Coturnix japonica: one gene and its partners. The protein of the gene in region 2 interacts with the protein of the main gene of each other region in a biochemical or structural test. Links are inferred from orthologs where the notes say so. Each region holds a gene or a part of one and is shown on either strand. Other genes may lie near its edges. The genes, in order: BAG3, PLCG1 and EEF1A1.

The links.
Region 1: the proteins of PLCG1 (region 2) and BAG3 form a complex in vitro, tested with the Homo sapiens proteins (2 studies listed by BioGRID). The link is inferred for Coturnix japonica from reciprocal best matches to the Homo sapiens genes PLCG1 and BAG3.
Region 3: the proteins of PLCG1 (region 2) and EEF1A1 form a complex in vitro, tested with the Homo sapiens proteins (2 studies listed by BioGRID, with this or other methods). The link is inferred for Coturnix japonica from reciprocal best matches to the Homo sapiens genes PLCG1 and EEF1A1.

The regions. Positions count from the first base shown.
Region 1 is NC_029521.1:27,000,244-27,003,890, forward strand, and holds part of BAG3 (BAG family molecular chaperone regulator 3), read left to right. Parts: intron 1-733; coding exon 734-1,087; intron 1,088-3,117; coding exon 3,118-3,501; intron 3,502-3,647. UniProt on the Homo sapiens protein: Co-chaperone and adapter protein that connects different classes of molecular chaperones including heat shock proteins 70 (HSP70s), e.g. HSPA1A/HSP70 or HSPA8/HSC70, and small heat shock proteins (sHSPs), e.g. HSPB8.
Region 2 is NC_029535.1:4,220,480-4,223,919, reverse strand, and holds the end of PLCG1 (1-phosphatidylinositol 4,5-bisphosphate phosphodiesterase gamma-1), read right to left. Parts: intron 2,677-3,440; coding exon 2,562-2,676; intron 2,325-2,561; coding exon 2,163-2,324; intron 2,054-2,162; coding exon 1,965-2,053; intron 1,557-1,964; coding exon 1,369-1,556; intron 1,038-1,368; coding exon 995-1,037; 3' UTR 608-994; downstream 1-607. UniProt on the Homo sapiens protein: Mediates the production of the second messenger molecules diacylglycerol (DAG) and inositol 1,4,5-trisphosphate (IP3). Plays an important role in the regulation of intracellular signaling cascades.
Region 3 is NC_029518.1:74,353,102-74,356,848, forward strand, and holds the start of EEF1A1 (elongation factor 1-alpha 1), read left to right. Parts: upstream 1-994; 5' UTR 995-1,123; intron 1,124-1,868; 5' UTR 1,869-1,915; coding exon 1,916-2,059; intron 2,060-3,074; coding exon 3,075-3,254; intron 3,255-3,383; coding exon 3,384-3,680; intron 3,681-3,747. UniProt on the Homo sapiens protein: Translation elongation factor that catalyzes the GTP-dependent binding of aminoacyl-tRNA (aa-tRNA) to the A-site of ribosomes during the elongation phase of protein synthesis.

The DNA of each region.
Region 1 (3,647 bases), on a different chromosome or scaffold from region 2:
GATACATCTGGAACTTGGCCCTAGCTGGGCCTCAAAATAGAATGACCGATGCAGGAAGAACTTAATAGAGGACTTGGGAGGGATCTTGGTACAAAGCACTTTCCCCCTTGCCAGAGCTTTGACATTGTCCAGTGAGTGCAGTTGGCCAGCACAGGAATTAATATTATCTAACCTTCCAGCATTTTCCTCTTCATTATGTTATCCTGTTGGAATCTGCTGAAGTGGATCCTCTCTTGGCTGTGAGTATCTTCTTCAGAATGAAGCAGCAGTAACTCTAGATAGGCAGTAGGAAGCACAATACCAACAAATACTGCTCTATGATGAGATAAATCTTCTAAGTTTCTTTTCTGCTGTTATCTATAACGCTGGGTGGATTTGAAGGGGTGTTAAGGAAACATCTGTGGTCCCTGAAGCTCTCATTTAATTAGCATGGTACCAGGTGAGGCAGCTGGACTCATGGCTGTATGCAGGTAGTGAGCGCTACAGAAAATCCCTGTTGTAATGTGGTATTTTAGTGCCTCAGTTAGCATTTATCAGCACTGAGGGTGAAAGGCTCATACCTAATTGGTGTTCAGCTTCCTTTCTCCTGCCTGCTGACCTTGCACAGACCTGAGGAGCTGAGCTTCTCATGCCTGGCTGACGCTTCTTTTAGACAGACCTTTATGGCTGCTTTCTTACGTGGTATGTTGAGCTGAGCTACCAACAAATGCTATGTGATGTTTTTAATTTCTAGGATGGCCAGTCGTCAGCAAATGGCCCATCTCAAGATAGTCCCAGGCAGATGCCAGCACGGGAAGGAAACGTGGTGTACCCCAAGCTCCGGGCTGGCTACATCCCCATCCCAGTCATCCACGAGGGCATCGACAGCAGACAGCACCCATACTTTGCTGCTCCACAGCCCGGCGTACAGCGGTACAAAGCAGAAGCCGTGCCCACCACAGCGCAGGCACAGCCACCACTGAGGGGGGCCTATGCCAGCCCTGAGTCCCCTCATAGGGGGCCGGCTGAGGCTTCCCAGGCAGATAAACAATGTGGACAGACAACAGCAGCTGCAGCAGCCCCAGCTCCAGCGACACACGGACCTGAGGTAACTCGGCAGTACTGCTGGGGTGTGTGTGCCTTGGTCTCTGCGGCCATGTATGACCTGACTGTCACACGAGTACTTTATCCTTTGGAAAGCCAAACCTGCCACAGGATTACATTTTCCCAATACTTCCACAGTGTTGAAATACAAAAGTGCTCAGTCACTTCAGCAGAAGTGTTTCACATTTTTCCGGCATTGACAGCTTTTGTTATCAAGTGATTTGCACAGAAACAAGCCTGTGAAAATTTTCTCTATAAAAAAGCCTGTGAATGGTGCAGGTGCTCCTGCGGCAGGTGAGGGCTGTTGTAGGGTTTAGAGTGGTTACTCTGCAAGCTGGGAATGCAGGCAGATCTCTTGCATTCCCTATGTGGGAAACAGGTGAGCAAGGGGAGAGACACAAAATACAAGTGTCCCATTAGCTGACAGCTTAGGCTGTTTCAGAAACAGGGCTATTCTGCTTTCCAGTTTAATACTCTGGTTTTATTAATTGTATAGATCTGCATACACAGATTTAGAAGTGAATTCGGAAATATTTTTGTTGTTATTTTGTAGTATGTTATAATACATGAACTGCTTTAAAAAGAGTCACCCTCCTTGCTTTGCTTTTCAAAAGGCAGGATTTTGGTTTGTCTGTTATCTCCTCAGAATTAGCAGGAGCAGTATTCTTGTAATAGGCTGAAGCACTAATCTCACTTCTGTTCCAAGTAAAATAAGCAGGAAATCGAGCCTCTATCAGCATGAAAACACATGGGGAATTTTTCATGTCGGCAGTGGCAGATATTTTTCTAAAACCTGTTTTTGTGTCTGAACAAGACAATTAAAATCCTGTTCGCAGTTTTCCTCAGTTGTTGCTGCTTTATCCATGAAGTGCAAGGATGGGAGGCTTAGTTCTTCCTTCTCTCAACTTAATGCAGCTGGGAATATACTTTTGTATTACATGCAGAATTGCTTCAGAAAAGTCTTCTCCATCTCATGTGCTCTGAGATAACTGCTGAGGACTGGAGAAGCTGCCATCACAAACTTAGGTGGCATGGGCACTAACTGACCAGGGCACTGACACAGCAGTGCTGGTGCCTGTAGAAAAAGTAGCATTTATTTATAGCTGCTGAGCTGCAGAGGTGAGCATTAACTAGCACAAAAGACATCTTGTTCCCTATCCTTTCTCACCTTGCCTGCCTACTTGTTGCTTCCAGCTACATTGTCCTGCTCTCCCTCCTGTGCTAACTCCAGTCTTACCTGGCCTGTCACTGAGATATCAATAAACCTGTCAGGAAATAATTTTTCCTCTCCTTCATGGGTTAAAGTATAGAGAATAGTCCATAGTAGGTGAGTTGATGGACTGGCACAGCAGGAGTAGAGAAGGAGTGAGCTGTGAGCAAATAAACTGCCTTTCCCCAGATGCTGTGGAACCATAACCTGAAATACCAGAAGCTGAATTGTGGTGTATCCCCAGCACTTGCTCCTGCTTACAGCAAATCTACACTAGTGCAGCTATCACTCCTGGTGCCAACAGGGCTGATGTGCTGGAAGGTCTCGTGAGGGGTCAAGGGGCATTAGCCACACATAGCAGGCTTTGGCAGTGCACTAAATTACATGCTTAAAGAAGTAAATAAATCTGTTAGCATGAGTGGGATCAGAAGTCTGAACTTTGTGTGCCTCTGAGTAGTTTGTTTTTTGTCTGCAGTACATAATTTGTTTGCTTAACTTTAGTTTGCCTCACATTTAACAGGTTTAGACAGGAGTAGCCATGTAAAAACAGAAAACATTCTGAGTGAGCATCCACTCCCTGCTTACTTGAGGGCTGGGAATGCTGTAGCTCAGGTTATTACTTGTTATAATGATGCTCTCTCACAACTTCTGTGGTTTGTCTAGCAAGGCAAAAAAAAATAGAACACAAACCAACACAAACCCAAACCAAGGACGTAGATCTTTTGTATGTGGGAACACAAATTCAGTTTCCATTTCTCTTTGAAAATGAAAAGTGCTATGAGCTGAAACAGCTGATTTAATAATGGATTTTGTTTTCATGGCAGCCTCAGTCTCCTGGAGCTTCTGATTCTCAAACGGTTCCACCTCAGTCATCTGGCAGATCCAATTCAGGAAGCCATCAGCTTCCCCGTGGCTATATTTCAATTCCTGTGATCCATGAAAATATCCAAAGGCAACCACCGCAAGGCTACCATCAGGCCCAGAAGACACACTACCCTGCCCAGCAGAGTGAATTCCAAGCCCACCAACCTGTATTTCCCAGAATTCAACCAGATGACAGGGAGCCTAAGACAGCACGAGCACAGTCTCCATTCAGAGCCACTCAGAGAGGGGCATCAAGTCGTGAGAGTTCACCTGCCAGAATTATCACCCAGCAGGTACAGCCCTCGACTCCCATCACAGTACAGACGGTCGTAGACAGACCTCAGGTATGTAGAGCGGGGAGGGTTATTACCTTCCACTTATCTCTGCTAGCCGTGCTGGGCTAGAGCTGAAACAGTGGCTCATACCCACAGGTACATGAAAGCACATAAAGCATTTCTTAAACTTGCTGAGATCCTGAGATAAGCTTCCA
Region 2 (3,440 bases):
CTTTCATAAGGGTGGCTATGCAGCTGGGGGCAGAGCAGCAGCTCTGCTGTGTCTTTGTACCGGGGGGGGGGTTCCAGTGGGTTCTTAAGTGTTTTTTAAGACCACGATTTGAGTTGGTCACCTTGGCAGCCGGGAGAGGCAGGAAATAGTTTTTACTTTTGGTAAAGGTTTTAAAGAAGAAAACAAAACAAAAAGTGAAGCTGCCTGTGACTGTGGGCTGTGGCTGTGACTCGGGCTGGGGTAGCTTGCACTGCTATGGACTTTACTGCTCTCATTCCGAGGGCACGAACTCCCTGTAGCAACAATGCCACTTCTGAGAAGTGAACGGCAAGTTTCCCTTCCTTTTGTATATGTGAACGTGAGGGTGGGAGAGGGAAAGAGCTTGCTTGTACAGTTTGTTGAAATGAAACCAGACATTTTTGGTTGTTCCTAAATAAAGAGTGTAAAATACAAATGAGAGTCAGCTGGTGATTGCGGGGCTGCATCCCCACATTGCAGCCCTACCCCACTGCCACTTCTCACCCCCCACCCCAGCTGTAACCATGGGGCTGCTCCTGCTCACTCATCCCAGCAAGGAGAATGGCAAGGGCAGCAAAATGAGACAGCGTGCATGTAATACTGACACGTTTATTGGAGTTTAAGCTACAAGTGGGGCCTGCAGCCCCCAGCCCAGTGCACACCAATACAGCAGAGGGGTGGCGGGTCGTATGTGCAGAGGTTTTGTCTCTCACCCCAGCAGCTGTTGGGCTGTGCACATCCCTGCACGTCATTAAGGGTTTGTCGGTGAAGGTGGGTGGGTGGGTGTTTGGGTGGTTCTTTTGGTTGTTTATTATTATTTTTTTCCCAATTTTTTTTTAGTTCTCCGCTCAAACACACTTCAGCGGAGAAACTGGAAAAGCTGCCTGAAAGTAGGCCATAGCAGTGCCGTTTCAATAGAAACCAGTTCGCAGCGTGCCGTGAGATCCACAGGCACGGGAGGTGCTTCCAGCCAGCCCTACAGCCGGTTGTCCCCGTTGACTCTGGTCCTTCGCAGCACCCTATGGGGACAACAGAGGGGATGCAGTGTTGGAGCAGTGCTTCCAGGTCCTGTGCTGCATCCCACCACTCTGAGATTTCTATTTCCAGCTCCTATGCCCATGCCTGAATAGCACAGAGGCATGGAGGGATGGAAGAGCTCACAGCTCCCCCCATGCATCCCACACTATGCATCTCATCACCCCCCACCCCAATCAGTGAACCCCCAACAAGCCTTACCCTCACTTCCCAGCTTAATTTAGGGCTTCCAGAAAGCAGACAAGGCTACGACTCAGCTCTATCAGGATGCTGCATTTCACAGCCTGCCCCCCAAGGACCCTCCCCAGTGCCCACCTTCGCTCCCGGCTCTCAAAGTGCTCCGCCAGCTGCTCCTGTGACACTCGGAAGTCTTCAAATGGCTGCTGGTACCGCACCTCGAAGGAGCCCTCCCTGGCTCTGCTGGCCAGCAGCTGGCTGGCCATGTCCCCACCTCGCTCCCGCAGCACGGAGCCACCAAAGAGGCTGATGTCACCATTCTCCTGCTTGGGTCAGAGCAAAGAGCAGTGAAGGGGTTGAGATGGTGCAGAGCTATAGACAGGGCTGCCCTGGGCCATACAGCTAATCTATAGTGTCCCAGGCTTCCAGGTACTGGAAGCTCCATCATGGGATCCCACCAAAATGGACTCATAGGTTGGAAAACAGCCCTGAGATCACTAAGTCCAACCACCAACTGGACCTCCCCGCTTCTAAGCCGCATCTATTGCCACAGCTGCACCCCCTGAACTATCTGCAGGGACACACCACCCAGGGCAACCCATTCCAGTGCATGATTTTAGGTGAAGAAATCAAAGAATCTCCTTCTGCATGGCCCTGAGCCCTGGGGACTGGATGGGAGCAGGAGTCAGGACAGCACAGCTGTGCACTGGAGGATGGGTACAGCAATGCCTCACCTTGCTGGGGAAGATGTCAATCTTGACGAGCAGGGAAGCCAGCTCCAGGTTCTCACTGTAGTTGTTCTTCAGGGGTACGGCTCGGAACCCTGCGGCACACACAGCCCCACGCTATTTGCAGCACAGCTCCTTGACTGCCCCGTGCTCAGCAAATGGATGAGCACCAACACGGCACACACAGCAGCTCTGAGCCCTTACCGGTCTTCAAGCCTTTCACCAGGAAAGTCGCCTGTGCCAGGAAGTTCTCATCACTGAACATGTCCTCCTCATACACCACGAAGCGGAGGAAGGCGAACTCAGGGTTGCTGACCTGGAAGTGGAACTGCTTTGGGCTCCAGAGGGGGTTCAGGCCGTTGTCCGCTGTGCACAGAACACTGCAGTGAGAGGGCAGCCCCAGCACTGCTTTGCTCCTTCCACCCTTAAAGGTGGAAGCAGAGCCCCCAGCCCCATCTCCTCCCTTTGGTGTGAGGGTGTCTGAGCACCACGGCCAGCCCTCCCCACTCTGCTGCCAAGCCCCTGATAAGCACTGCAGCCAGCACAAAGGCTGCATCTGGGGGGAAACCAGCCCACCCATGCCACCTCTCCTTCCACACTCACCCACAATCTCTGTTTTCTGCTTCGCGTTGTCATACTCTGCCCCAGACACCTCCACCTCCACAAAAGGACACACGATTCCTCTGCCATTTTTGGGGAGGTGCCGGGCCCCCAGGACCTGGGGAACAGAGACTGAGTGAAGGGTGGGAGCCAAGGAAAAGACTTGTTTGCATACACAAACTTGCTGTCTGAGTAACTCCCCCCTGGGCTGCACTAAGCAGAGGTAGGAGAGATGCTGACACCTGGAGGGAAGCAGCTCTCAGATGTAGAACTGCTGCATATCACCAGTTTGTAGTTTAGCCTGAAGCCAGCAGCTCAGCTGCCCGCAGTCCTGCTGCAGCTGCACAGCCCAGCTGTGACCATGGCATCACTCCCCTAAGCTGGACCTTGGCACTGGGCACCCATGGCTTCATCAGAACTTCTCGCTCCCATCACTTTGGCTGGAGGAAGCTGTTCCTCCCCTCTGCCTGCAGCAGTGGGTGCTCAGCACAGAGGACAACCTGCTTCCTCACAGCACAGCTCCCCGCTCCTCCTGCCAAGAGCCATATGTCACTGGAGCAGGGGAAGGAGGCTCTGCCAGCACCGCATCACATGCTTTGAGTCATGCTGTGCTCCAGGCAGCTTCTCCATCCATGAAAGCTGGTGTTGGCTGGGGACAGCGGGCAGCTTTGAGCTCATCTCTTCAAGGAGACGGCTGTGGCATGGGGTCCCTTGATGCCTGGAGGCTGCAGCTTCACCCCGAGATGCAGGAAGAGTTTGAGGGGCAGCGCTTTGGTAAATGGAAGTCACAGAGAAATGGTGTTAGGGATTTCTAGGGAGTTATCATATGGATAATGCCAATGCCATGCCCCCCCCCACCCCAAGCAGAGTAGTGACTCTCTT
Region 3 (3,747 bases), on a different chromosome or scaffold from region 2:
TAGTTATATATTGGTGGGTATGGCCCGCGGTGCTGGAGTTCAAGGAGCATTTGGATGCTGCTCTCAGACGTGTGGAGCCAGGAGTGGGACGCGGTGATCCCTGGGGCTGCCTTCCAACTCAGCATGTTCTGTGGAGCCCCTGCCAACAATTGAATGGGATTACAGTTGAGTACACGTAAGTAACTGTAACATGGGTGCATTACATTCTCTTAGAAGAAGAAAACAGATCCTTTTAACCCAGACTGCCCAGGGAGGTTGTGGATGCCCCGTCCTTGGAGGTGTTCAAGGCCAGGATGGATGGGGCCCTGGGCAACCTGATCTAGTAAATGTGTATGTTTGGTGGCCCTGCCAGGCAGGGGGTGATCCTTGAGGTCCCTTCCAAACCAGGTCGTTCTGTGATTAAAGGAATAAAGTATTTGTTTCCCTTCTGGGGTTAATTTCCCACTAGAAAGCCATACAGGTGTTTTACACGAGTACACCCTGCTGGAATCACGAGGGCTTTCAGTGCTGGTGCCCCCGTTTCAGAAGCCAAAGGCTGGGGCTGCCAGCACCTTTGGTGACTCTCATGGGGCACCTGTCAGCCGGGAATGTACGGCATGGGGGCACTCGGGGCAGTTTGGAGCTCTCAAGCAGAAGCCCCGAATTGATGCTGAAGCGAATCTCCTTGGCCCTGTGTGAAACGCGAGGCCACCGGGGATCTCTGCTAGTCTGCAAGTTCCCACCCCGCAGCTCGCTGTCCGCGTCCCCTCGGGCCGCAGTCTCGGGCCTGAGGCGGAGCTCGGCGACTCTATGGCTGCCGTGCCGAGGGGGAGGCGGCGGAGCGGCACCTCCATCCCGGCTGGCCGCGCTCCAGGCGATGCCGTTCAGCATTGGGGCAGCGAGTCCCGACCGGCCGCCACTCGGCCCGGCTCCCCCGGGGCTGGGATCCGCACCCCGCCCCTCCCCGCCGCCCCCAGGGGAGCACGGCGTGCGGCGCTGCCGGGCGGGGCTTAGCGCGGGGCTTAGCGCTGGGCCCGCCGGGAGCCGTGACGCGGCGCCGAGGCCCCGCCCCGTGGCAGGGTATATAAGGGGCGGCGCTCACGCCGTCGTTCTTTTCCGCTCCGGGTTTGCCGACGCCGTGCGGGTGAGGAGCGTGCGGCGGGGCGGGCCGGGCCCGGGGGTGGGGGGAGCGGGGATGCTGGGGGTGCGTGGATGTACCGTGAGCGGGGGGTTGAGGCGCCGCCGTGCAGCGGTGCGTGGGGATGGCGGAGCGGGGGGATGGCGAGATAAGGGGCGGATGGGGGAAGCGGGGCGAGCGGCGGCGTAACGCCGACGTGTCCCATCCGAGGGCTCACGCGAGGCAGCGCCGCGATGAGCACATGGGGCCGCACCGCCGCTTCGGCTTCTTGCGGAGCCGCCTGGCGCTGCTGTGCGGCGTGCGGTGCTCGGCCGTACGCGGGTGGCGGCCGGGGATGGCGGGGCCGCGCCGTCGGTGTGGGCGATGGGGGAAGGGAAGGCCGGGGCACGAGAAAAAAAATGGCCGCCCGCTCTTCCTGCCGCCGTCAGCTCACAAAATGGAGGACGGCGGCCCGGGCGGGGTGAGTCACACACAAAGGAGAGGGGCGGCCCCGCCCTCCGCGCCGCCCCGCGCCGCCGCCCCAGCACGGCCCGGCCCGGCCGCCATGCGGGGAGGGGGCGACGGAGGAGGGGGGCGAGCCGGAGGGGACACGGGCCGCCAACACCGCCCGCCTCTCCCCGCTGCTCGACTCCCCCCTCCCATCCCCCGGTGGGGCGGGGCCGAGCCTACACGGGCCCTCTGCCCCCTGCGGGCGGCGCTGCTGCGGGACGGGGGCGGCCGCTGTAACCGGGATTCCTTCTGGAACTTTCAGGTGTCGTTTCTCTTTGGCCGGAAGAAAGAAGCTAAAGACCATCCGAAATGGGAAAGGAGAAGACTCACATTAACATCGTCGTCATCGGCCACGTCGATTCCGGCAAGTCCACCACCACCGGGCACCTCATCTACAAATGTGGTGGCATCGACAAGAGGACCATCGAGAAGTTCGAGAAGGAGGCGGCCGAGGTGTGTGAGGCAGCCGTGTGGTGGGAGACTGGGGGGAATAAGGGGCAAAAGGAAGGAAACCAGAACGTTTTACTACCACAAGGAGGCGGTTGGGTCGAGATTGTCCTGGTAATTGAACTAGAGTACTCAATCTGTTATGTTAAGGTGAAGTCATCGAAGCATAGAATAAAGAGCATGAAGCTAAATCTGAACGCTTAGAATCAAAATGGGAGCTCCCATCTTCATTCTCGGCCTGGATTGAGAATTACAGAATCGTTAATGTTGGAGAAGACCTTGAAACTCCAACTATCAGCCCATCCCCACCATGGCCACTAACCATGTCCCTCAGTGCCACGTCAGCAGGTTTCTTGGACACTTCAAGGGTAGTGACTCCACCATCTCTGTGCACAGCCTGTTTCAATGCATTGCTGCTCTTATGGAGTAGGAATTACTCCTAATATCCAATCTGGACCTCCCCTGGCACAGCTTTAGACTGTTGTCTCATGTCATCTTGTAGTTTAGTTGAAAATGTAATGATCAGCCTTGTCTCAAGGTGGGAGAGTCTAAGGTACCATTATGTGAACCTGTGGAAGTATTCCAGTTTTCCTTTGTTTTGTTTTAGTGATAAAATAGCACCTCGTAAGCACATGATAAAAGGAAATGCAGTGAATGCTGGGCTGTGTGGCTGTTAAAATACCAACTGGAGCAGGGATGGCATTAGTAACTAAGCTAAAATTTGTAGTGGACACTTGATAGTAGGACTAAGCCTTAAGAGATCCATCATAAAGATGTGTTAGCACAATTAACAAGTTGTCAAGAGGGCTGAAGTGTCAGCAGGTTAAATGACAGAGCAGTTGGCATATCTTGGTAGTAGTGCCAAGTGAACCTAGGCCAGAGTTTTATGAGCAACAGCAGCTTTCAGTGTAAGTCACTCCCTATTAATAACTTTGCTCGTTAGTGTGTATTTCATGGTCTTGGTGAGGTAAATGAAAATATATATCTTGAGGGGTTTTTTTTTCCTGTTTCAAACCCATAGATGGGCAAAGGTTCCTTCAAATACGCCTGGGTCTTGGACAAGCTCAAGGCTGAGCGTGAGCGTGGTATCACTATTGATATTTCCCTGTGGAAATTTGAAACAAGCAAGTACTACGTCACCATCATCGACGCTCCTGGACACAGAGACTTCATTAAGAACATGATCACTGGAACTTCTCAGGTAAGGAAATAAAGGATGTGGGGAGTTGAGGGAAGCTGCTCCTTGGCTGGTTTACAGCAGGGAAATTGCCCATGTGCTTTAGTGTGCGTGTAGGCTTTCTAACAAGGGCTTTTTTCTACCTTTTCAAAGGCTGATTGTGCTGTCCTGATTGTTGCTGCTGGTGTTGGTGAGTTCGAGGCCGGTATTTCCAAGAACGGGCAGACCCGCGAGCACGCTCTTCTGGCCTACACCCTGGGTGTGAAACAGCTGATCGTTGGTGTTAACAAGATGGATTCCACTGAGCCCGCTTACAGCCAGAAGAGATACGAAGAGATCGTCAAGGAAGTCAGCACTTACATCAAGAAAATTGGCTACAACCCAGACACTGTAGCTTTTGTGCCAATCTCTGGTTGGAACGGGGACAACATGCTGGAGCCCAGCTCTAACGTAGGTTTCCCTGTTTTCCTTTTTAATATTAGGAAATGGAACTAGCAGGATCATTAAGATAAGTTAA